3 linked regions of the Anolis sagrei genome follow. The protein of the gene in region 2 purifies or fractionates together with the protein of the main gene of each other region. This does not show direct contact. Links are inferred from orthologs where the notes say so. Each region holds a gene or a part of one and is shown on either strand. Other genes may lie near its edges.

The links. The genes of interacting proteins can lie anywhere in the genome.
Region 1: the proteins of NIFK (region 2) and NOP2 fractionate together in Homo sapiens (co-fractionation; 3 studies listed by BioGRID, with this or other methods). This does not show direct contact. The link is inferred for Anolis sagrei from reciprocal best matches to the Homo sapiens genes NIFK and NOP2.
Region 3: the proteins of NIFK (region 2) and FTSJ3 fractionate together in Homo sapiens (co-fractionation; 3 studies listed by BioGRID, with this or other methods). This does not show direct contact. The link is inferred for Anolis sagrei from reciprocal best matches to the Homo sapiens genes NIFK and FTSJ3.

What each region holds. Positions count from the first base shown.
Region 1 is NC_090022.1:197,352,312-197,359,404, forward strand, and holds the start of NOP2 (28S rRNA (cytosine(4447)-C(5))-methyltransferase), read right to left. Parts: upstream 3,006-7,093; 5' UTR 2,928-3,005; coding exon 2,822-2,927; intron 491-2,821; coding exon 445-490; intron 1-444. UniProt on the Homo sapiens protein: S-adenosyl-L-methionine-dependent methyltransferase that specifically methylates the C(5) position of cytosine 4447 in 28S rRNA. Required for efficient rRNA processing and 60S ribosomal subunit biogenesis.
Region 2 is NC_090023.1:257,608,479-257,616,281, forward strand, and holds the start of NIFK (MKI67 FHA domain-interacting nucleolar phosphoprotein), read right to left. Parts: upstream 3,016-7,803; 5' UTR 2,979-3,015; coding exon 2,844-2,978; intron 1-2,843. Other genes in the region: ACTL6A (actin-like protein 6A), read left to right, coding at 5,052-5,076, 7,631-7,707.
Region 3 is NC_090026.1:37,882,596-37,890,473, reverse strand, and holds the start of FTSJ3 (pre-rRNA 2'-O-ribose RNA methyltransferase FTSJ3), read left to right. Parts: upstream 1-4,873; 5' UTR 4,874-4,966; coding exon 4,967-5,033; intron 5,034-6,612; coding exon 6,613-6,718; intron 6,719-7,470; coding exon 7,471-7,517; intron 7,518-7,878.

The sequences.
Region 1 (7,093 bases), on a different chromosome or scaffold from region 2:
AGTCAAAACCAAAGAAAACGGAATAGCTTTGAAACATTCAGGGATTATTTTTGGCTGAAGAACAGGCTATAAATGCTTTTAAGAAATGAATAAACAATTGGGTTGTTGTAGGTTTTTCGGGCTATATGGCCATGTTCTAGAAGCAGTCTCTCCTGATGTTTCGCCTGCATCTGTAGCAAGCATCCTCAGAGGTTGTGATTAATTCCATTAGGTGGCCTAAAATGACAGCCATCTATTGTTTATTCGATTGTAAATTCTCACACTTGATTTTAATCTTTAGTAACACACAATATAACACCCTGATATTTATGAGCAACCAACAAATTCTCAATAGGTTTGAGAAGCCGTATTTTAAAAAAGGATGTTATAATTTTTAACAGTTTATAAATGAAGAGGAAGTTATATTCTGAACTGTTAGCAAATTTTGGTGACTTTCCTACTAACCTTCGTCGTGCGTGACTGGAGAGCTTCTTTATATTGTCATCAGGGTCTTGGAAGAAAAACATAGACATATCAATCTCTATAGGAGGCTGATCAAGAGAGTAAGCACAGCTAGAACAACATCAAGAGCTCCTAGCTGAATTCAAGGTTGCATTCACACTGTAGAATTAGTGCAGTCTGACACCACTTTAACTGCTGTGGATCCATGCTATGGGACCATGGGAGCTGTAGTTTCATAAGGTTTTTAGCTTTCTCTGCCAAAAAAGGATGATGCCTCTACAAACCACATATCCCAGGATCCTATGGTGGAATGCACACTCTAAATCCTATACTTTAAAGTGTAGTGTGACAGAGATCTGTGTTTTCCACAAAAGGAGTAGCAGTAGGCCTGCTTTCTCACAGCTGAATAAAATCGCCCATTATCTGCTTTGAACTGGAATATATGGTAGTGTGGACTCAGATAACCCAGTTCAAAGCAGATATTCTGGGTTATCAGCCTTGATATTCTGGGTTATATGGCTATGTGGAAGGGCCCAAGGCAAAATATGCACAAAATCCCAACAAGGACAATGGCAAGATTTCCAGTCTAGAAGAAACATCGAGCCATAAGGATGGCTGCTGCTGCTATCATCATCATCATCATTAGTATTATTTGAAACACAACAAGATGAGTCCACAGCAGACGCAGGCTGTTGCATTGGATCACATGTCGGACACTTCCCAAGTGTCTAGGACTGTGTGATGTATTGGCGAATAATGTGTGCAGATCCCAGTAAGGTGGCCTTTTGCAGCTGGCAGATGGTAATCTTGTCAGCGCCGATTGTGTTTAAGTGCAGGCCAAGGTCTTTAGGCACTGCACCCAGTGTGCCGATCACCACTGGGACCACCTTGACTGGCTTGTGCCAGAGTCTTTGCAGTTCAATTTTTAAATCCTCATATCGTGTCAAGTTTTTTCAGTTGTTTCTCTTCAATCCTGCTGTCACCTGGGATTGCAACATTGACAATCCATACTTTGTTTTTAAACATGATTGTGAGGTCAGGAGTATTGTGCTCCAAAACGCTGTCTGTCTGAATTTGGAAGTCCCAGAGTATATGAAGCTCCTTTTACACTGCCATAAAATCCAGACCATCAAAGCAAAGGCCTGTACATATGTGCAAATGTTTGTGGATTCAGTGTTGTGAGTTTCCCTTTCATTGGCGGTATGATGCTTATTTAGCAGTAACTGTCCTGCCTCCCATATTTATGACCACAATTTGCCTTTCAAGAAAATCTCTCTCCTTGCCCTCCAACTGCCTAATCATCCTCTAAGGTTAGTGAGAATCCAGTGGATGCCCATTCTTCATTTAGACATATCAGAGATAAATGCTTTGATTAGATTGGCCCCTTCTAGACTGCCATGTAATCCAGATTATTAAATGAGATAATCTACATTACCTGTTTGAACTAGATTATATGTCTACACTGTCATATAACCCAGTTCAAAACAGATAATCTTATACGGCAGTATAAAAGGGCTGTAGAAACCAGTCCCATGACTGAACCACTTCAATTTCTCCCTGGAACTCTGTAAAACCCCGTCTACTGCCATATAATCCAGATGAATAAAGCACACAATCCACATTATCTGCTTTAAAGTGGATTATATGAGTCTACACTACCATATAATCCAGGTCCCTTCCCCACTGCCATGTAATTCAGATTATCAAAGCAGATAATCCACGTTACCATCTTTGAAGTGGATTATATGAGTCTACACTTCCATGTAATCCAGGCCCCTTCCACACTGCCATATAATCCAGATTATCAAAGCAGACAAGCCACGTTACCAACTTTGAAGTGGATTATATGAGTCTACACTACCATATAATCCAGGTCCCTTCCACACTGCCATATAATCCAGATTATCAAAGCAGACAATCCACGTTACCAGCTTTGAAGTGGATTATATGAGTCTATACTGCCATATAAACCAGGTCCCTTCCACACTGCCATATAATCCAGATTATCAAAGCAGACAAGCCACATTATCTGCTTTGAACCGGATTATATGAGTCTACACTGCCACAGAATCCAATCCAAAGCAGATAATCTGGATTCTATGGCAGTGCAGTCTCATATAATGAGTCCACTTCCGACCTGACAGAGCACTATATCTCCCACCCAGGATGCGGCTCCTTGAAGGGCCACGCACGGATCAAGGGCCAGGAACCCTGGGAGTTGTGGTTTCACAAGGTCTCCCGCCTTCTCTGCCCAAGAGGGCCGGGGCCTCCCCGCAAAGGGCAACTCCCGGGATGCTGTGGCGAGGGCTGTGCTCTGCCCCTGAGGCCTCGGCCCATCCCGAGGGCTTTCCACGGCCAAGGCAGCCCTGGCCCGACTCACCGGGAGGCAGGAACCCGGCCAGCTCCTCCTCGGCGCCGCGCTGCTTGCGGGCCTTGCGCCCGGGCCCCCGCTTGACCTTCTTCGCCGGGTCCAGTTTGCGCCCCATGCTGCTCAGGCCTCGCTCCCCGAAAGCGCGCACGTGGATTGCAGGCCCGCCTCCTCCTCGGCCACGCGCACTTCCGCCTCAGGAGGAGGCTCTCATTGGCCACGGGGGCGCCTTCCGCTAGAGCTCTCCGCCTTGGGATTGGACAGCGGGTGATACGCTTCTGCGTCCGGAATAGGTTAAAGAGGGTGCGTTCCACTTTAAATCCTGGGGCTTGTGGTCTACGGAGGAACCAGCTAGACTAGCGAGATCTTTTCTTCGCCTCTCTGAACTACAAGTCCCATAATTCTGCAGGAGGCAGCTACAGGATTAAGGTGGTATGCAGTGCTTTGCCTACTCTTTAAAACAAAGTCCTCCAGGTGTTTTGGACTTCGTTGTTGTAAGTTTTTCGGGCTGTATGGCCATGTTCCAGAAGCATTCTCTCCTGACGTTTCGCCCGCATCTGTGGTAGGCATCCTCAAAGATTATGAGGTCTGTTGGAAATTAGGCAAGTGAGGTTTATATATCTATGGAAAGTCTAGGGTGGGAGAAAGGACTCTTCTTTGCTTGAGGCAAGTGTGAATGTTGCAATTGGCCACCTTGATTAGCATTTGATGGCCTAGCAGATTCAAGGTGTAGCTTCTTACTGCCCGGGGGAATCCTTTGTTGAGAGCTGATTAGCTGTCCCAAGCCCCCGGTGGCGAGGTGGGTTAAATCTCTGTGTCGGCAGAACTGAAGACCGACAGGTCGCAGGTTCGAATCCAGGGAGAGGCGGATGAGCTCCCTCTATCAGCTCCAGCTCCTCATGGGGGGACATGAGAGAAGCCTCCCATAAGGATGATAAAACATAAAAAATAATCCGGGCATCCCCTGGGCAACGTCCTTGCAGACGGCCAATTCTCTCACACCAGAAGCGACTTGCAGTTTCTCAAGTCGCTCCTGACACGACCAAAAAAAAGAAAAGCTGTCCCAAGAAACATGAAAGGCAGGGCAGACTCGTTCAATCAGAGAAGCCAGCCATAGCAGAGCACCTGATGAGCCAACCTGGGCACAGCATATTATTTGAGAACACAGAAATGCTGGACCACTCTCACAACCACCATGTCAGACGACACAGAGAAGCCACTGAAATCCACAAGCATGTAGACACATTCAACAGAAAGGAAGAAACCATGAAAATGAACAAAATCTGGCTACCAATATTTTAAAAAAATATCAAAAATCAGGAGAGTAAACAACACTCAAGAACAGAGGAACTCCAGACAAGAAACAATCATGGCTGAAAAGACATGTCCCAAAGTATCCGAAACAGTTTAGAAATATTACAACCATGTTGCTACCTTACGAACTCAGTTGTAGAATATCTCAGTAGTAACATACACGTAGATATAAAAAAGCACTTGGCTAAATATATTTGCATGTTCATACTCTGTATGCTTTGTTTCTGGCTTTTTTTTTTACTCTGTCCTAACAGTAGACTATCCTTTGCAATTTAAACAAGTAGAACAGAGCTTTACAATCTGTGTGTTGTACTGTGTCAACTGGAGTGCATGGGTGTGTTGCGCGAATGTTAACACAAAACCTCTGAGTTTTGTGTTACATTTTTATTTACAAAAATAAAAATATGATGAACCAACCTGGACACAGCATATTGTTTGAGAACACAGAAATGCTGGACCACACCAACAACCACCATGTCAGACTACACATAGAAGCCATTGAAATCCACAAGCATGTGGACAATTTCAACAGAAAGGAGGAAACCATGAAAATGAACAAAATCTGGCTACCAGTATTTAAAAAACTCTAAAATTACAACAGCAAAACAGAGGGGAAACAATCAGGCACATCCAATCACCTCTCAACAAAAGATTGCCCCAGGCACTGCCAGGGCCATCAAATGCTAATCAAGGTGGTCAGTTGAAACATTCACACCTAACTCCAGCAGACAAGAGTTTTTTGTCCTACCCTGGTCATTCCACAGATATATAAATCCATTTTCCTAGTTTCAATAGACCTCACTACCTCTAAGGATGCTTGCCAAAGATGCAGGCAAAACGTCAGGAAAAAAATGCCTCTAGAACATGGCCATATAGTCTGGAAAAACCTACAACAACAAAAAATAAAAATAAACGATTTTCATGAGATATGTTGTGATGCATGTGTAAACAGTGTGTCACCAACATGAAATGGTTGGAAAGCTCTGTAGGCTATTTCTGCCATTTCTGCTTGTCTCACGATTTTACTTGTCTTATAGTAGCTGTTTGGACCTCCAAGACATCAGCAATCCTGCGCTTGTGGTCCTGAGGGACTCAGGCCTGTGCCTAATTTAAGCCTATCTACCCGCCTGCCCACTCCAACCCCAAATTCTTGTTTAAGGAGAAAATGCCCTGGGATATGCAGATTCTAGTGGATAGTAGAACATTAGCTGTGTTATATAGAGCTTCCTAGCGAAGCCATTACTATACTATACTATACTATACTATACTATACTATACAATACACCCAAACTATGTAATGATGGTACAGTTTGGGTGTTGTTATTGTTGGAATGCAACCCCACACTGATCAAGTCTCAAGCCCTCAATGAGGAGAAATTGGTTAGCATTAGAATAGTCTGAGAGTTTTCCTTTCCCCCATGTCTCCTGTATGACAGTTGGGAATGTGTCTGTTTTCATCTCTTCTTTCTGCTCTCATTCTTTAAATTGGATACTTTTCTACTGCAAACCTTTTTGAATCAGACTTCTGCCTTCCTACACTTTAGTATGGAGAGTATGTGCTGTGTGCTTTGAGATCTCTCTCTGCTTGTGTGTCAGGAGAGATGTAATGATTGAGTTTTCTCTTCTGTTGAAATGTTAGAAGAGATGGATGTTGGAGTAGCTCAGACCCAGTTCTTTACCATGAAGAAATATAGGTAGTTCATTATTATCTATATAAATAAAAATGTAATGTTCGTTTGTGGGATTAACAGAACTCGAAAACCACTGGACAAATTGACACCAAATTTGGACACAAGACACCTAACAACCCAATGTATGTCCTTCACTCAAAAAATGATTTTGTCATTTGGGAGTTGTAGTTGCTGGGATGTATAGTTCACCTACAATCAAAGAGCATTCTGAACCCCACCAAGGATGGAATGGAACCAAACTTGGCACATAGTTCTCCCATGTCCAACAGAAAATACTGGAAGGGTTTGGTGGGCAGTGTCCTTTGGTTTTTGGAGTTGTAGTTCACCTACATCCAGAGAGCACTGTGGACTCAAACAATGATGGATCTGGACCAAACTCTACACAAATACTCAATATGCCCAAATGTGAACACTGGTGGAGTTTGGGGAAAATAGAATCTTGACATTTAAGAGTTGTAGTTGCTGAGATTTGTAGTTCACCTACAATCACAGAGCATTCTGAACCCCACCAATGATAACATTGGGCCAAACCTCCCACACAGAACCCCCATGACCACCAGAGTGGGCCACAGCAACGCGTGGCAGGGGACGGCTAGTTGTAAATAAACCTTTTGTGATTTTTTAAAAGATTGGCTCCTAAGCTCTGAATTCTCTACAGCCATATCACTTGGCTTTGCTTGCTAATGAGCTGATGCTCAACTTTTTGTATCCTGATTGTTTTTGGATGCTCTGCTTTATTTCGCATAGTTTTCCCTAACAATTATGATCTTAAAGCAAGTCATCAGTACACAAATGGAATCTTTGAGATTTCATAGATTCACACAATACCATTCTGGGAACAAAAGCATTGCATTAAGTAGCTAAGTACACGTACTTATACATCAGCTTTACCAGTTTGGAAGAGATTCTTGCAAACTTTCCCCACTTCTGACAACAGTAACTCTCAGGCTGATTCATGGCAAAAAAACCACAGCTGAGACTAAAGTACAGAATCAGCAACTGGTGCTCCCTCCCATAGTCTGATAACCATCTGCTTGTATACAAAACGTTTATGGAAAAAACAAAATATATTTGATTAGCCCTTTCAAGAATTAACCTCATAAATCCAAATCAGACTGGAGTTATTATTTGCGATCCTCACAAAACGTGAGAGCTGATCATTTTAACCTAAAAGCAAAGCCTGGCTGCTGCTTGGGTGGTTGCCAGGCTAGAAGGCACTTAACACTGTAAAAATCCCCCAAATAGTTTGACAGAGGCAAATAAAATACAAGGAAACCTT
Region 2 (7,803 bases):
AAAGGTCATGAGTTTGAAGCCAGCCCGTGTCGGAGTGAGCTTCCGACCAAATTTGTGTAGCTTGTCAATTTTGCAGCCCAAAAGACAGTTGCATCTGTCAAGTAGGAAATGTGAGTACCACTTTGTGGGGAGGCTAATTTAACTAATTTATGAGGCCATAAAAATCTCCACCAAGGACGCGGAGAATGAAGAAGTACTTCATTGGTGTCGTGGATGGACGGTGAAGTGACAGCTCCCCTGGGGGCCAGAAAAAGTTGGAATGTTAAATAGCCTCTGACTGTCTGTCTATGGCATTGAATGTTTGCCATGTATATGTACATTGTAATCCACCCAGAGTCCCCTGCAGGGTGAGAAGGGCGGAATATAAATACTGTAAATAAATAACAAAAGTCACAGTTTTACAAGGTCTTTAAAATGTCTCTGATATAAAATTACTATTGCTGCTCTGGCTTGCAGGTGCTGTTGGCTTGTTGGTATCATTAGTTATGTAATACTCTTTTAATTCTATTTCAAATGATTTTTGGTTTCTGTAAATTGATTTCTATGTCAATTTTTTTTTGTGTCGAGTTGAGTTACTTGATAGCTAAGTTTAATTTGACTGTAGATATTGGTTCACTTGGGACTTGGTCAGGCTGTTATTGTACAGGGTTAGTCAAAATGAATAGGCCAATAAGAAAATTAATTGTACCCGAATTGGCCTATTCATTTTGACTAACCCTGTACTTGTATTTGAATTTATGGTCATGTGAAGGCACTGAAATTTTGCCTTTTTGTTTGTTGGAATCTGTCCTGAATCCCCTTGGGGAGATAAGAGTTTTATTATTATTATTATTATTATTTGAAACACAACAAGATGAGCTCACAGCAGACAAGATCACTCTGCTGGCTGTTGTATTGGATCACACATCGGACACTTCCCAAGTGTCTAGGATTGTGTGATATATTGGCGAATAATGTGTGCAGATCCCAGTAAGGTGACATTCTGCAGCTAGCAGATGGTAATTTTGTCAGTGTCGATTGTGTTTAAATGCATGCCAAGGTCTTTAGGCACTGCACCCAGTGTGCCAATCACCACTGGAACCACCTTTACTGGTTTGTACCAGAGTCTTTGCAGTTCGATCTTTAAATCCTCATATCGTGTCAGTTTTTCCAGTTGTTTCTCTTCAATCCTGCTGTCACATCGACAATCCGTACTTTGTTTTTTAACATGATCGTGAGGTCAGAAGTATTGTGCTCCAAAACTCTGTCTGTCTGAATTTGGAAGTTCCAGAGTAGTTTGACATGTTCATTTTCTGTAACTTTTTTCCAGATTATGATTCCACCAGTTCTTTGTTGCAGGCAAATGGTATTTGTGGTATTATTATTATTATTTAATCTGCTAAAGATTGCTGGTGCCTTGCCAAACTACAACTCTCATGAGCCACGGCTCTTAATGTGGGCAAGTCAATGAGATGTGGAAAAAAATATATTAATGTATGAAAACGAATTCAAGAGGACTAATAAGGACAGGGCTAACACATAAATATATCTGTTTATCCTTCCAATGAATTATGCTGGGGGAAATGGAAGGAAAAAGGAAGAGGGGTCGACCAAGGGCAAGATGGATGGATGGTATCCTTGAAGTGACTGGACTGACCTTGAATGAGCTGGGGGTGGTGACGACCGACAGGGAGCTCTGGCATGGACTGGTCCATGAAGTCACGAAGAGTCAGAAACAACGTAACGAATGAACAACAACAGCCTTCCAATAATCAGCATAGCACCCCTAATATCTGGGCCCCCCTGGTGGTGCAGCAGATTAAACCGCCAAGCTGCTGAACTTGCTGACCAAAAGGTTGGCAGTTTGAATGCGGGTGAGCTTCTGCTGTTAGCCCCAGCTTTTGCCAAGCTAGCAGTTCAAAAAGATGCAAATTGCACCACAATTCAAGAGAGATATTGACAAACTGGGATGTGTCCAGAGGAGGGCGACTAAAATGATCAAGGGTCTGAAGAACAAGCCCTATGAGGAGCAGCTTAAAGAGCTGGGCATGTTTAGCCTGAAGAAGAGAAGGCTGAGATGAGACATGATAATAATGTATAAATACGTGAGAAGAAGTCACAGGGATGAGGGAGCAAGCTTGTTTTCTGCATCCTTGGACACTAGGACGTGAAACAATGGCTTCAAACTACGAGAGGAGATTCCATCTGAACATGAGGAAGAACTTCCTGACTGTGAGAGCTGTTCAGCAGTGGAACTCTCTGCCCCGGAGTGTGGTGGAGGCTCCTTCTTTGGAAGCTTTTAAACAGAGGCTGGATGGCCATCTGTCAGGGGTGCTTTGAATGCAATATTCCTGCTTCTTGGCAGGGGGTTGGACTGGATGGCCCATGAGGTCTCTTCCAACTCTTTGATTCTATAGCAGATCAATAGGTAGCATTTCAGTGGGAAGGCAATGGCACTCCATGCAGTCATGCTGGCCGCATGACCTTGGAGGTGTCTACGGACGACGCCGGCTCTTCAGCTTAGAAATGGAGATGAGCACAAACCCCAAGAGTCAGACACTATAATGTCAGGGGAAACCTTTGCCTTTACCTATTTATTTGTCGTGTCAGATCAACCAGTCAATTATATTACATTTCTAACAGAACAAAGCAAACAGACAAAATACAATACCTTTACCTTACCTACCCCTAATAGCTGCTAAACTGTACATGGGTTTGGGTCAACTTGGGCCCTTTAGGTGTTCTGGACTCCAACTACCGGCTGTTAGGAATTGTAGGAGTTGGGAGTCCCAAACACCTGCGCATGCGCAGTGCAGCGGCACCCTAAGAGACTCTGGTGGCGCTTCCCCCTCCTTCTCTCTCACCTTGCCTTTCCGCACGCGCTGCACCTCAGCCTGGAACTCTTGCTGTCGGTCCAGGTCCAAGGAAAGGAGCGGGGCCGCCTGTCTGGCCTTGGCTTTCGCCTTCGCCGCGGAAGAGCCTTCTGTTACCGCCGCCATGGCGCCTCCGCAGCAGGAAAAGGGGCCGCCTCTGCCTCACACGGCGTGTGGCTGCCAAGAAACGGAAGCCTCCTCTCGTCACTTCCGCTTGGCTGGCTTGGTGCCACAGTAGGAACAAGGACGGCAGAACAGCGGCCCCTGCTGGCTGGGGGCGGAAGTACTGGATGAGGAGTGACTCCAGTGATATTCACAAATGCAAAGACAGCCAGACCTCCATATCCTCGCATTCTATATAATATAATATAATATAATATAATATAATATAATATAATATAATATAATATAATATAATATAATATAATATAATATAATATAATATAATAATCATCATTGTATATCATAGGATATACGTGTGTGTGTGTTTAAATTTGGGTCCCATATACATTTCTCTCTCTCTCTCTCTCTCTCTCTCTCTGAAGAGCAACCTTTGATTTTGCCATTTTACAGAAAGGTCAACATTTTACTATGTTGTTGGGCCCTGTTCCATTATCATCACTGTATATCACATGAGATATGTATGAACTTGGATCCTATATATATATATATATAATCATAGAATCAAAAAGTTGATCATACAGTATTGGATAATCAAGAAAGGTATTTTATGCAAGGCTGCACTTAGAATCAAAGACTTGGAAGAGACCTCATGGGCCATCCGGTCCAACCCTCTGCCAAGAAGCAGGAATATTGCATTCAAATCACCCCCGACAAATGGCCATCCAGCCTATGATTAAAAGCTTCCAAAGAAGGAGCCTCTACTACACTCCAGGGCAGAGAGTTCCACTGCTGAACAGCTCTCACAGTCAGGAAGTTCTTCCTCATTTTCAGATTGAATCTCCTCTCTTGTAGTTTGAAGCCATTGTTCCGTTGCGTCCTAGTCTCCAAGGAAGCAGGAAACAAGCTTGCTCCCTCCTCCCTGTGGCTTCCTCTCACATATTTATACATGGCTATCATATCTCCTCTCAGCCTTCTCTTCTTCAGGCTAAACATGCCCAGCTCCTTAAGCCGCTTCTCATAGGGCTTGGCTAGTGTATGTATGTATGTATATATATATATATATATATATATATATATATATATATATATATATATACTAGCCATCCCCTGCCATGCGTTGCTGTGGCCCACATGGGGGTTCTGTGTGGGCGGTTTGGCCCAATTCTATTGTTGGTGGGATTCAGAAGGCACTGTGATTGTAGATGAACTATAAATCCCAGCAACTACAACTCCCAAATGTCAAGATTCTGTTTTCCCCAAACTCCACCAGTGTTCACATTTGGTTATATTGAGTATTCTTGTAGAGTTTGGTCCAGATCCATCATTGTTTGAGTCCACAGTGCTCTATGGATGTAGGTGAACTACAACTCCCAAACTCAAGGTCAATGTCCAGCAAACCCTTCCAATATTTTCTGTTGGTCATGGGAGTTCTGTGTACCAAGTTTGGTTCAATTCCATTGTTGGTGGAGTTCAGAATGCTCTTTGATTGTAGGTGAACTATAAATCCCAGCAACTACAACTCCCAAATGACAAAATCATAATTTTTTGAGTGATGGTCACTCCTTGTGTTGTGAGACGTTTTGTTGCCAAATTTGGTGTGATTTCATTCATTGGTTCTTTTGTATATATATAGATAGATATAGAAGATAGATAGATTAATTAATTAATTAATAAATTAAATAAAAATATTAATAAAAATAAATTAAAATAATTAAAATAAAAAATAAAACAGATTAAACTCCCAAGCAAAACATGCAGAAATCCAATGCTCTCCCTTGACTAGACTTTTCCCTCTGTGCTGATCTTCCCACCAAAACTACTACAAGGCAACCAAACTTGAATCTTCTCCTCCCATTGGAGGGACACAAACCCTATGATACCTACTAGGCAAAACGAAAGCCAATCAGGAGAGCCCTTTGCAGTTGGCTCCTCCAGCGATAGGCGGGCTTTGGAACAGCGGCGGGCTGCCGATTGGTGGAGAGAGGGAGAGGAGGCGGGCCTTAGCGAGGTAGAACGGGAGAAAGGGATCCCGCCGCGCGCTGTGAAGAGAAGCAGAGCGGAGCCTCGGTTGCAGCCATGAGCGGCGGGGTCTACGGAGGAGGTGAGCGGAGGGCTTGGCGCATGCGCGAGATGGGAAAGCCAGGCGGGGCTGCGGCGCCTTTAAGACCGAAGGGAAGGGGACTCTCCTTTGAATGACTCTGGAGTGGAAAGCAGGCTAGACTCTCTGAAGTTGCAGCTAGACCAGGCCTGGGCCAACTTGGGCCCTCCAGGGGTTTTGGACTACAACTCCCACAATTCCTAACAGCCGGTAGGCTGTTAGGAATTGTGGGAGTTGTAGTCCAAAACCCCTGGAGGGCCCAAGTTGGCCCAGGCCTGCCTGATCAGAAATACAAGCTGATGGCTTTGCTGACATCTTCCAAACTAGCTCTCACTCCTTGATGGATTGTCACTTTGTTGTGTTTGGAGACTTGTTAGGAGACTTGTTGTGGTTAGGAGACTTGTGTCTTCCAGGCCTCTGTAACTTCAATGTATTTTGCCCATAAACTTACTTATTTATTTGTTTATTTATTTATGATATTTCTACCCCGCCTTTCTCGAATCCGAAGGTGACTCAAGGCGGCTTTTCAACATCAATCCAGACAAGACAGAGGTCCTCCTGGTCAGACGCAAGGCCAAACAGGGCATAGGGTTACACTCCCCCTTTTATTTTGTCGTGTCAGGAGCGACACAAGAGACTGCAAGTCGCTTCTGGTGTGAGAGAATTGGCCGTCTGCAAGGGTGTTGCCCAGGGGACGCCCAGATGGTGCAGGTTTGCAGCTTGGGAGTCATCCTGGATTCATCGTTGAGCCTGGAACACCAGGTTTCGGCGGTGACCAGGAGAGCTTTTCCCGTACCTTGGGAAGTCTGACTTGGCCACGGTGGTCCAAGATCTACAAGCCACTCTAAATACCTTTGCAGAAGCGTACACGAAACTTGGCCCGTCACTGAACATCGAGAAAACCAAAGTGCTGTTCTAGCAGTCACCAGCCATCCCCTCTCCAATGCCAGAGATACAATGGTGCAACATTAGAAAATGTTGACCATTTCCGCTACCTTGGCAGCCACCTCTCCACCAAAGTCAACATCGACACCGAAATACAACACCACCTGAGCTCTATGAGTGCAGCATTTTCCCGAATGAAGCAGAGAGTGTTTGAGAACCAGGACATCCGTAGGGATACCAAGGTGATTGTCTATAAAGCTATTGTCCTCCCAACCCTGCTATATGCCTGTGAGACGTGGACTGTCTACAGACGTCACATGCAACTCCTGGGAAGACAAGCAGACAAACGTCAGTGTGCTGGAAGAAGCAAAGACCACCAGCATTGAAGTGATGGTCCTCTGCCATCAACTCTGCTGGACCGGCTACGTTGTCTGGATGCCTGACCACCGTCTCCCAAGGCAGTTGCTGTACTCTGAACTTAAGAATAGAAAACGGAACGTTGATGGACAGGAAAAGAGATTTAAAGATGGGCTCAAAGCCAACCTTAAAAACTGTGGCATAGACACCGAGAACTGGAAAGACCTGTCCCTTGACCGCTCCAGCTGGAGGTCAGCTGTGACCAGCAGTGCTGCAGAATTTGAAGAGGCAGGAATGGGGGGCGAAAGAGAGAAACGTGCCAGGAGAAAGGTGCGTCAAGCCAACCCCGACCAAGACCGCCTTCCACCTGGAAACCAATGCCCTCACTGCGGGAGAAGATGCAGATCAAGAATTGGGCTCCACAGTCACCTATGGACCCACCAGAATACTGAGCCTGGAAGACTATCCTACTCGGCAGCCAGTGGAGATGGTGTAACAAGGGCGTTGTGCACTGCCTGTACCCAGCCCCAGTGAGCAACCTGGCTACTGAACGTTGGACTAGTTGAGGCTTCCGGGCAGTCTTCCGGGTTGCCTCTGAAGACTGCCCGGAAACTGCAATAAGTCCAACGCTCGGCAGCCAGGCTACGGACAGGAGCGGGGTACAGGGAGCACACAACTCCTCTGTTGCGCCAGCTCCACAGGCTGTCAATTACCTTCCAAGCACAATTCAAAGTGCTGGTTTTAACCTACAAAACCAGATACGGTTTCGGTCCAGTTTACCTGTCCGAACGTATTCTCCCCTATGAACCATCAAGGCTGTTAAGATCTTCCAGAGGGGCTCTGCTCTCAGTTCCACCACTTTTGCAATTGTGTCTGGTGGGGACGAGAGACCGGGCCTTTTCCATGGTGGCCCCTCGGCTATGGAACTCTCTCCCAAATGAGATTAGATCTGCCCCCTCTCTCCTTACCTTCAGGAAGCTAGTGAAATCCTGGCTATGGATTGAAGCTTTCCCAGAATAATGGCTGAGACCGGCAACAGACTAAAGTTATTGACATATGCGGACTAAGTTGGACATGATTTTACCTTGGTGAACTGGCTTATATGTATTTTACTTTATATGTATTTTAATCTACTGTTGTATGATGTTTTAAACTGTGTTGTGGCATTGTGAGCCGGTCTGAGTCCCTCTGTGGAGGTTGAGAAGATCGGGATATAAAAGTTTTGAATAAATAATAAATAAATAAACTTATTTGCCTCATAAGATTTTGTTTTTGTTTAATCAAAGTTATCCAGAGTCTATATTTGTGTTTGCAGATGAAGTTGGAGCTCTGGTCTTTGATATCGGGTCTTACACTGTGAGAGCTGGCTATGCTGGAGAAGACTGCCCAAAGGTAAGAACAAAAGTGGGCTGTTATTACCTGGTAACAATGGCATCGTCTACACTGCCATATAATCAAAGCAGATTATCTGGATTTTATATGGCAGTG
Region 3 (7,878 bases), on a different chromosome or scaffold from region 2:
GAAGTTTGATATAATTTCAACAGCAATAGTATAGTGGAAGTTGCTTCTGGTGTGAGAGAATCAGACATTGCCCAGGGGATGCCCGGATGTGTTGCTATCAATTTGCTTCTGAAACAATCAATAAATAACAGCAATATTATATTGACTTTTTTTTCTAGTTGAATGTAAAAAGAAAAAAGAAAAAGAGAAAAAATATAGAAAGTATGTGTTTTCACATGGAAAGTGGGGGAACAATGCACTGATAGGATAGTAGAAAAGAAGAAAAGAGAGAGAAAAGAAAATATTATATATATAAATCTAAAGGTAGAATAAAAAGAAAAAAAGTGTGATTTTGATTTCCATTCTTGTTCATAGCAGTTCTTCATTTTTATTATTATTTGTGTGTGTGTGTATTATTAACCTTTCTCTCTTTTTATAGAGTGGCATCTTTCTTTTTTCTGTCCCTTGATTATGATTTTTTTCCCAATCCATCTCATTCATCTTGCAATTCTTTTGAAAGATATATTTACTTAATTTATTTCTTTACAAAGGGGATTCAGAGCAGCTTACAAGAGATATATACATACAATATATTATATTATTAGCATAGTAAACATCAGTATTAAATATTACTATATTGTACTATACCGTTATATTGTAACATTATTAGTAATATTACATAAATATATATATTATTTACGATTTTGTTTTATTTACGAAAGTTATCACAGGGGAGAGGCGGATGAGAGAAGCCTCCCACACGGATGATAAAAACATCAAATCATCCTGGCATCCCCTGGGCAACGTCCTTGCAGGCGGCCAATTCTCTCACACCAGAAGCAACTTGCAGTTTCTTAAGTCGCTCCTGACACGACAAAAAGAAAAAAAACAACAACAGGGAGATATATATATATATATATATATATATATAGTATTGTTGAAGGCTTTCATGGCTGGAATCACTGGGTTGTTGTCGGTTTTTCGGTCTATAAGCTATATGGCCAAGTTCTAGAAGCATTATCTCCTGACCTTTCACCTGCATCTATGGCAATCATCCTCAGAGGAGTGGGGTGTGTATGTGTGTGTATCTGGCGAGCACTACAGTCACAAAGAATACCAGAAGACTATGTAACATGGATAAAGCTACTATACAATAATACAAGTATGGTCCGCTGTCCTGAGGAGATTTCACCACCCTTCAACATCACTGTTAGCATGCATCAGGGATCAGTACTCTCACCATTACTATTCATACTCTGCATTGATACTGCTACAGCAGATTTGCAGACTATGCATCCCTAGACAATCCTATATGCAGATAACATAGCACTCAGCCACCAAAAGCGTGCAGCCCTCCAACGACAGCAGCAGACATTCAGTGATAGTGAATATTGACTTCAACTGAACATACCCAAAACACAGTATCTGGAATGTGGCCTTCAAACTGGAAAAACAAGTCTCCAGACCCTTGATCATTTTAGGCGCCCTCCTCTGGACACATTTTCTTAGGCATGGAATCATCTGCTGCTTCCTCTGAAATGTAGCCTTCAACTCCCGGTATTCCTTGTATTCTTGTCTCCTGGATATGTCATCAGTTGGAGACCCCTCTCCCCCCCCCCCCCCCCACCAACCGCCGCTAGGAGTGAGTACAAAGGAGGCCAGGGGACAGTTCCATCTTGTCTCCTGCATATGTCATCAGTTGGAGACCCCTCCCCCCAGCATCAACCACTGCTCTGAGCCAGAGTGAAGACAGAGGAGGCCAGGGGACAGTTCCACCTTGTCTCCTGTGCTATGCTAATCTATATAAATAAAAATGTAATGTTAGTTCGTGCTACCATCAGAACTCAAAAACCACTGGGGGAATTGACATCAAATTTGGACACAAGACACCTAACAGTCCAATTTATGTCCTCCACTAAAAAAAATATATGATTTTGTCATTTGGGAATTGTTGTTGCTGGGATTTATAGTTTACCTACAATCAAAGAGCATTCTGAACTCCACCAATGATGGAATTCAACCAAACATGGCATACAGGACTTCCATGACCAACAGAACACACTGGAAGGGTTTGGTGGGCATTGACCTTTAGTTTGGGAATTATAGTTCACCCACATCCAGAGAGCACTGTGGACTCAAACAATGATGGATCTGGACCAAACTTGGCACGAATATTCCATATGCCTAAATATGAACACAGATGGAGTTTGGAGGAAATAGACCTTGACATTTGGGATTTGTAGTTACTGGGATTTATAGTTCACTACAATTAAAGAGCATTCTGGAACCCACAAACGACAGAAATGGGGCAAACTTCCCACACAGAACCCCCATGACCAACAGAAAATACTTTAGGCCAGTGGTTCTCAACCTGGGGTCCCCAGATGTTTTTCCTACAACCCCCAGAAATCCTAGCCAGTTTACCAGCTGTTAGGATTTATGGGAATTGAAGGCCAAAAACATCTGGGGACCCCAGGTTGAGAACCACTGCTTTAGGCCATCCAGTCCAACTCTCTTCACCAGGGCAAGAAAATGTAATCAGAGTCCTCCTGACAAAGAGCCATCCAGTCATAAATATAGATAGATAGATATGATTCTCTCTCTCACACACAGATATAGTATCATAGATTTGAAAGAGACCCTTAAAGAAGGACTATGATATGTTGCATATTCTAGAGTAGGCAAACCAGACACTCTCCACATCAACACTGACAAAGAAACAACAAGAAATACTGTTTACTCACAAGCATAAAGGAATTACATATATTAGAAACCAACACTTTCTCATTTCTTTATTTTCCAGATCACCAGGCTGGGCCACAGCAACGCATGGCAGGGGACAGCTAGTATATAATATAATATGATATAATATATTGTATATACATATAATATTTATAATATTATAATGTAATACAGTATAATACTAATAATAATGATATGATATTAGAATTATATATTTTATATTACATGTGCTATTACTAATAATATTACAATATAATTGTATAGTACAATATAGTGATGTATAGCACTGATATTGTACTGTGCTAATGGTATAATGCAGGGGTCCTCAAACTTTTTAAACAGAGGACTAAGTCACAGTCCCTCAAACTGTTGGAGGGTTGGACTATAATTTGAAAAAACATGAATTCCTATGCACACTGCACATATTTTATTTGTAGTGCAAAAAACCCCACTTAAAAACAATATAATAATTAAAATGAAGAACAATTTTAACGAATATAAACTTATTAGTATTTCAATGGGAAGTGTGGGCCTGCTTTTGGCTGATATTTATTTATTATTTATCTTGTCATAGGCAACCAGACCATTGTATTACATTTCTAACAGAACAGAAAAAAAACAGACAGACAGACAAAACACAAAGTTTGCAAGCTTGGTAGTTGATTAAATGTCCTTTGACCAGTATCTGGCCACTTGGAGTGCCTCTGGTGTTGCTGCAAGAAGGTCCTCCATTGTGCATGTAGCAGGGCTCAGGTTGCATTGCAGCAGGTGGTCTCTGTTTTTGGCTGATGATATAGGATTGTTGTTGTTGTTGTGTGCTTTCCAAGTCATTTCAGAATTAGATTGACCCTGAGCGAGGGCCGGGTAAATGACCTTGGAGGGCCATATCTGGCCCCCGGGCCTTAGTTTGCGGACCCCTGGCATAATGTATTGCATATCTTGAAACCGCTCTGACATAAATAAATAAATAAATATTCCAGGTACTGACCATGGCTAATCCTGCTTTGCTTCTAAGGTCTAATGGTATCTTGTGGTATCAAAGATACAGAATGGGGGATGACTGGCTTGAGAGCAGTACGTGTGAAAAAGATCTTGGAGTCCTTGTGGACAACAAGTTAAACATGAGCCAACAATGTGATGCGGCGGCAAAAAAAGCCAATGGGATTTTGGCCTGCATCAATAGGGGCATAGTGTCTAGATCTAGGAAAGTAATGCTACCCCTCTATTCTGCTTTGGTTAGACCACATCTGGAATATTGTGTCCAATTCTGGGCACCACAATTCAAGAGAGACATTGACAAGCTGGAATATGTCCAAAGGAGGGCGACTAAAATGATCAAGGGTCTGGAGACCAAGCCCTATGAGGAGCGGCTTAAGGAGCTGGGCATGTTTAGCCTGAAGAAGAGAAGACTGAGAGGGGATATGATAGCCATGTATAAATATGTGAGAGGAAGCCACAGGGAGGAGGGAGCAAGCTTGTTTTCTGCTTCCTTGGAGACTAGGACGCGGAACAATGGCTTCAAACTACAAGAGAGGAGATTTCACCTGAACATGAGGAAGAACTTCCTGACTGTAAGAGCCGTTCAGCAGTGGAACTCTCTGCCCGGAGTGTGGTGGAGGCTCCTTCTTTGGAAGCTTTTAAACAGAGGCTGGATGGCCATCTGTCAGGGGTGATTTGAATGCAATATTCCTGCTTCTTGGCAGGGGGTTGGACTGGATGGCCCATGAGGTCTCTTCCAACTCTTTGATTCTATGATTCTATGATTGTGCATTTTAGGCAGTCTAGCCTTTTATGATTGGGAACCGGAAGTATAGTGTCTATAAATATTGTCTCTTTGTTTTGGTTGCAAAACTACTGCGCATGCGTATTAAGGCCGGACGTTTACATGACAAGCAAGTATTGGCGTTCTACCGCCGCCATCTTGGTAGGGTATTTTCTTTAAAGGCACCTTTTAACTGAGAAGACGCTGATGGAATAGTGCAATAAGACACCAGTATTTTTAGAATTCTTAACTATGTGATTCTGCATGTCTGTCTGTCCCTGCGGTTGGGATTGAGGTTAAAAACCGGAAAGGGAGGGGGGAAGGAAAGAGATATCTGCCACACTCAATATGACTACAGAGGCAGTGACGTTTGTAACCAGGAAGAGGCAAGCCTACGGATCGGGAGAAGGATCATAGGAAGTTTTACCCACGTGCTAGCCTGGTGGTAGATCTTCAGCGTTTGAGGCTGATTCCTCTGCCAAGATGGGGAAGAAGGGCAAAGTAGGAAAGAGCCGAAGGGACAAGTTCTATCACTTGGCCAAGGAAACAGGTGAGGATATGGGATTGGGAGCATTTCTGGTATTATGTCAAGAAGCCACGTTTCCTTTCTTTGGGGGTTAGAGGCTCAATTGATAGCTTTTAGGTGGAGAGAAAGCCCATTCTCCATAGAGGATGAAACATTAAGCCTTGATTTTCAGGGCTGCATCTACACTGTCGAATTAATGCAGTTTCTTAGAATCAAAGAGTTGGAAGAGACCTCATGGGTCATCCAGTCCAACCCCCTGCCAAGAAGCAGGAATATTGCATTCAAATCACCCCTGACAGATGGCCATCCAACCCCTGTTTAAAAGCTTCCAAAGAAGGGGCCTCCACCACACTCCGGGGCAGAGAGTTCCACTGCTGAATGGCTCTCACAGTCACGACTTTAACTGCCATGGCCCAGTGCTACAGAATTGTGGGAGTTGTTGTTTAGTGAGGCACCAGGATTCGTTAGCAGGGAAGGCTCAAGACCTTGTAAAACCATAACTCCTGTGATTCCATAAGTAGTGCCAAACTACATTCTACAGTATAGATCAAGGGTCCTCAAACTTTTTAAACAGAGGTCCAGGTGACAGCCCCTCAAACTGTTGGAGGGCCGGATTATAATTTGGAGGAAAAAAAGAACAAATTCCTATGCACACTACACATATCTTATTTGTAGTGCAAAAACCACTTAAAAACAATACAATAATTATAATGAAGAACAGTTTTAACAAATTTATTAGTATTTCAATGGGAAGCGTGGGCCTGCTTTTGGCTGATGAGATAGGATTGTTTTTGTTTCTGGACAAGATTTGTTCGTAAGTTTGCCATTGCAACCCTTTGAAGCTGAGAGAATGTGATTAGCTCAAAGTCAGCATGCAGGTTTTATGAGTAAATAGGATTTGAACCTCATCTCTCACTACACCAATCTGGCTCCGTACATCATTTTATAATGAGGTCCAGTATGGTGTAGTGGTTTGAATGTTAAACTTGGATTCCAGGGGATCGGAATTTGAATCTCTGCTCAACTGTGAAAACCCACTGGGTGACCTCTGGCAAGTCACATTATCTCGTCTTCAGTGGAAAGCAAAGGGTAACCCCCTCTGAACATTTTTTTCCTATGTAAACCATAAATACTGAGCCATAAGTCAGAAACAACTTGAAGGCACACATCAACAACAAAGATAACAGTTCTCCGAAAATTAAAATGCTCCACAATTTAAAGTGCTGGTTATGGCCTGTAAAGTCCTATGTAGCTTTGATCCAGACTATTTGAAAAACCCAATCTTGTATCAACCTGATTAAGTGTGAAGATCCCTAGGATGTCCTCTCTTAGGGCACTGCCATTTAGCAGGGAACTGGGTGATTAGTTCTGTAATACAAGCGCATACAGGACATCTAACTTTGTGGCTTTATTTTCTTTTAATTCTTTGGGCTTCAGCTCTCTTATGGATCACCAGAGTCTTTCAGAACATAATTTTAGTGCATAAAGTAGTGCTCAGAACTTTTGGGACACACTGGATTAAGTAGCTGTTGGGCCTTTTTTTACTTGCAGTCCTAAAGTTCTAATTGTACTTGTTGTTTGTGTCTCGTTTCCCCTCTTCTAGGATTCCGTTCCCGTTCATCTTTCAAGCTCATCCAGTTGAACCGAAAATTCCAGTTCCTTCCCAAATCCAGGGCACTTCTGGATCTGTGTGCTGCTCCTGGAGGATGGTTAGTGAGCAGTAAAGGGAACAGGGAACCCTATTATTGCAAATTACTGCGCATTTGGCATTGGTACCAGTGCAATGTACAAGACTCCATATTATCTTAAATAGCCAAAGACCAGCTGAGTTAACAACAAGCTAGTTGAAGTTGTGCTGAATAAAACCCCTCAGTCAATGGATATTAGAAATTACCTTTGGCCTGAGTTTGTTCTGAATGCTAAACTGAAGATGTTTTTTGACATAATGCAACTTCTCCCTTGTTCTGCCCTTCTTTGTTTTCATTCTGACTTCTCTGCTGCCAGATCTTAGCCAGCAAATAATTCTATCTTGGCTGTTCCCCAGGATCAGCCATTAGAAGAATGTTTTGACCACATAGAAATATTTCTGTGGATAGTATAGGCTTTGGGCTAATTTTAATCTATTGCAGCCTGTGTATCTCTGAGTGGTATTGTCGAAGGCTTTCATGGCCGGAATCACTGGGTTGTTGTAGGTTTTTTCGGGCTATATGGCTATGTTCTAAAGGCATTTTCTCCTGACGTTTCGCCTGCATCTATGGCAAGCATCCTCAGAGGTAGTGAGGTTGAGTTATCTCTGAGTTATTAATGCATTAATATGGTGCTAGCATTCACATTTCTGCGGTGTTTTAAGAGATGTGCAAGATTTTGAGGAACGTTGAATAAAAAGATTCTGCCTTTTTCATGTTGTTGTTTATTCATGGATTCTCAAAACGAGACCTGTTTCCGTTTCATCTTCCAACAGGTTGCAAGTGGCCTCAAAATTTATGCCAGTGTCCAGTCTTATTATTGGTGAGTAACCTAGTTGTGAGAGGATGAGGAGTGGCATATCTGGAGAAAATAAAATAGGAAGGGCTTTGCTGGATTGGACCACATGTTTTTTCTTATTTTATGCATGCTGTTTAACTCTGAGGCAAATCAGATGGCTCAGGATAATACACTATCAGGATACAAGCCCCTCTGTCACTGTTATTCCCAGCAGCTGATCTTCAGATATTTTAAACAGTAGGCCTTGTCATCCATAGTCATCATAGCTTGGTCTAGTGTTAGAGCAGTGGAAAGCAGGAGGTGGTGGTGGTGAAATCAACAAAAGAGTAGTGATTAACAGTTTGGAGTGTTCAGAACTCTGCATAGATTGATTTTTGGTAAGTCT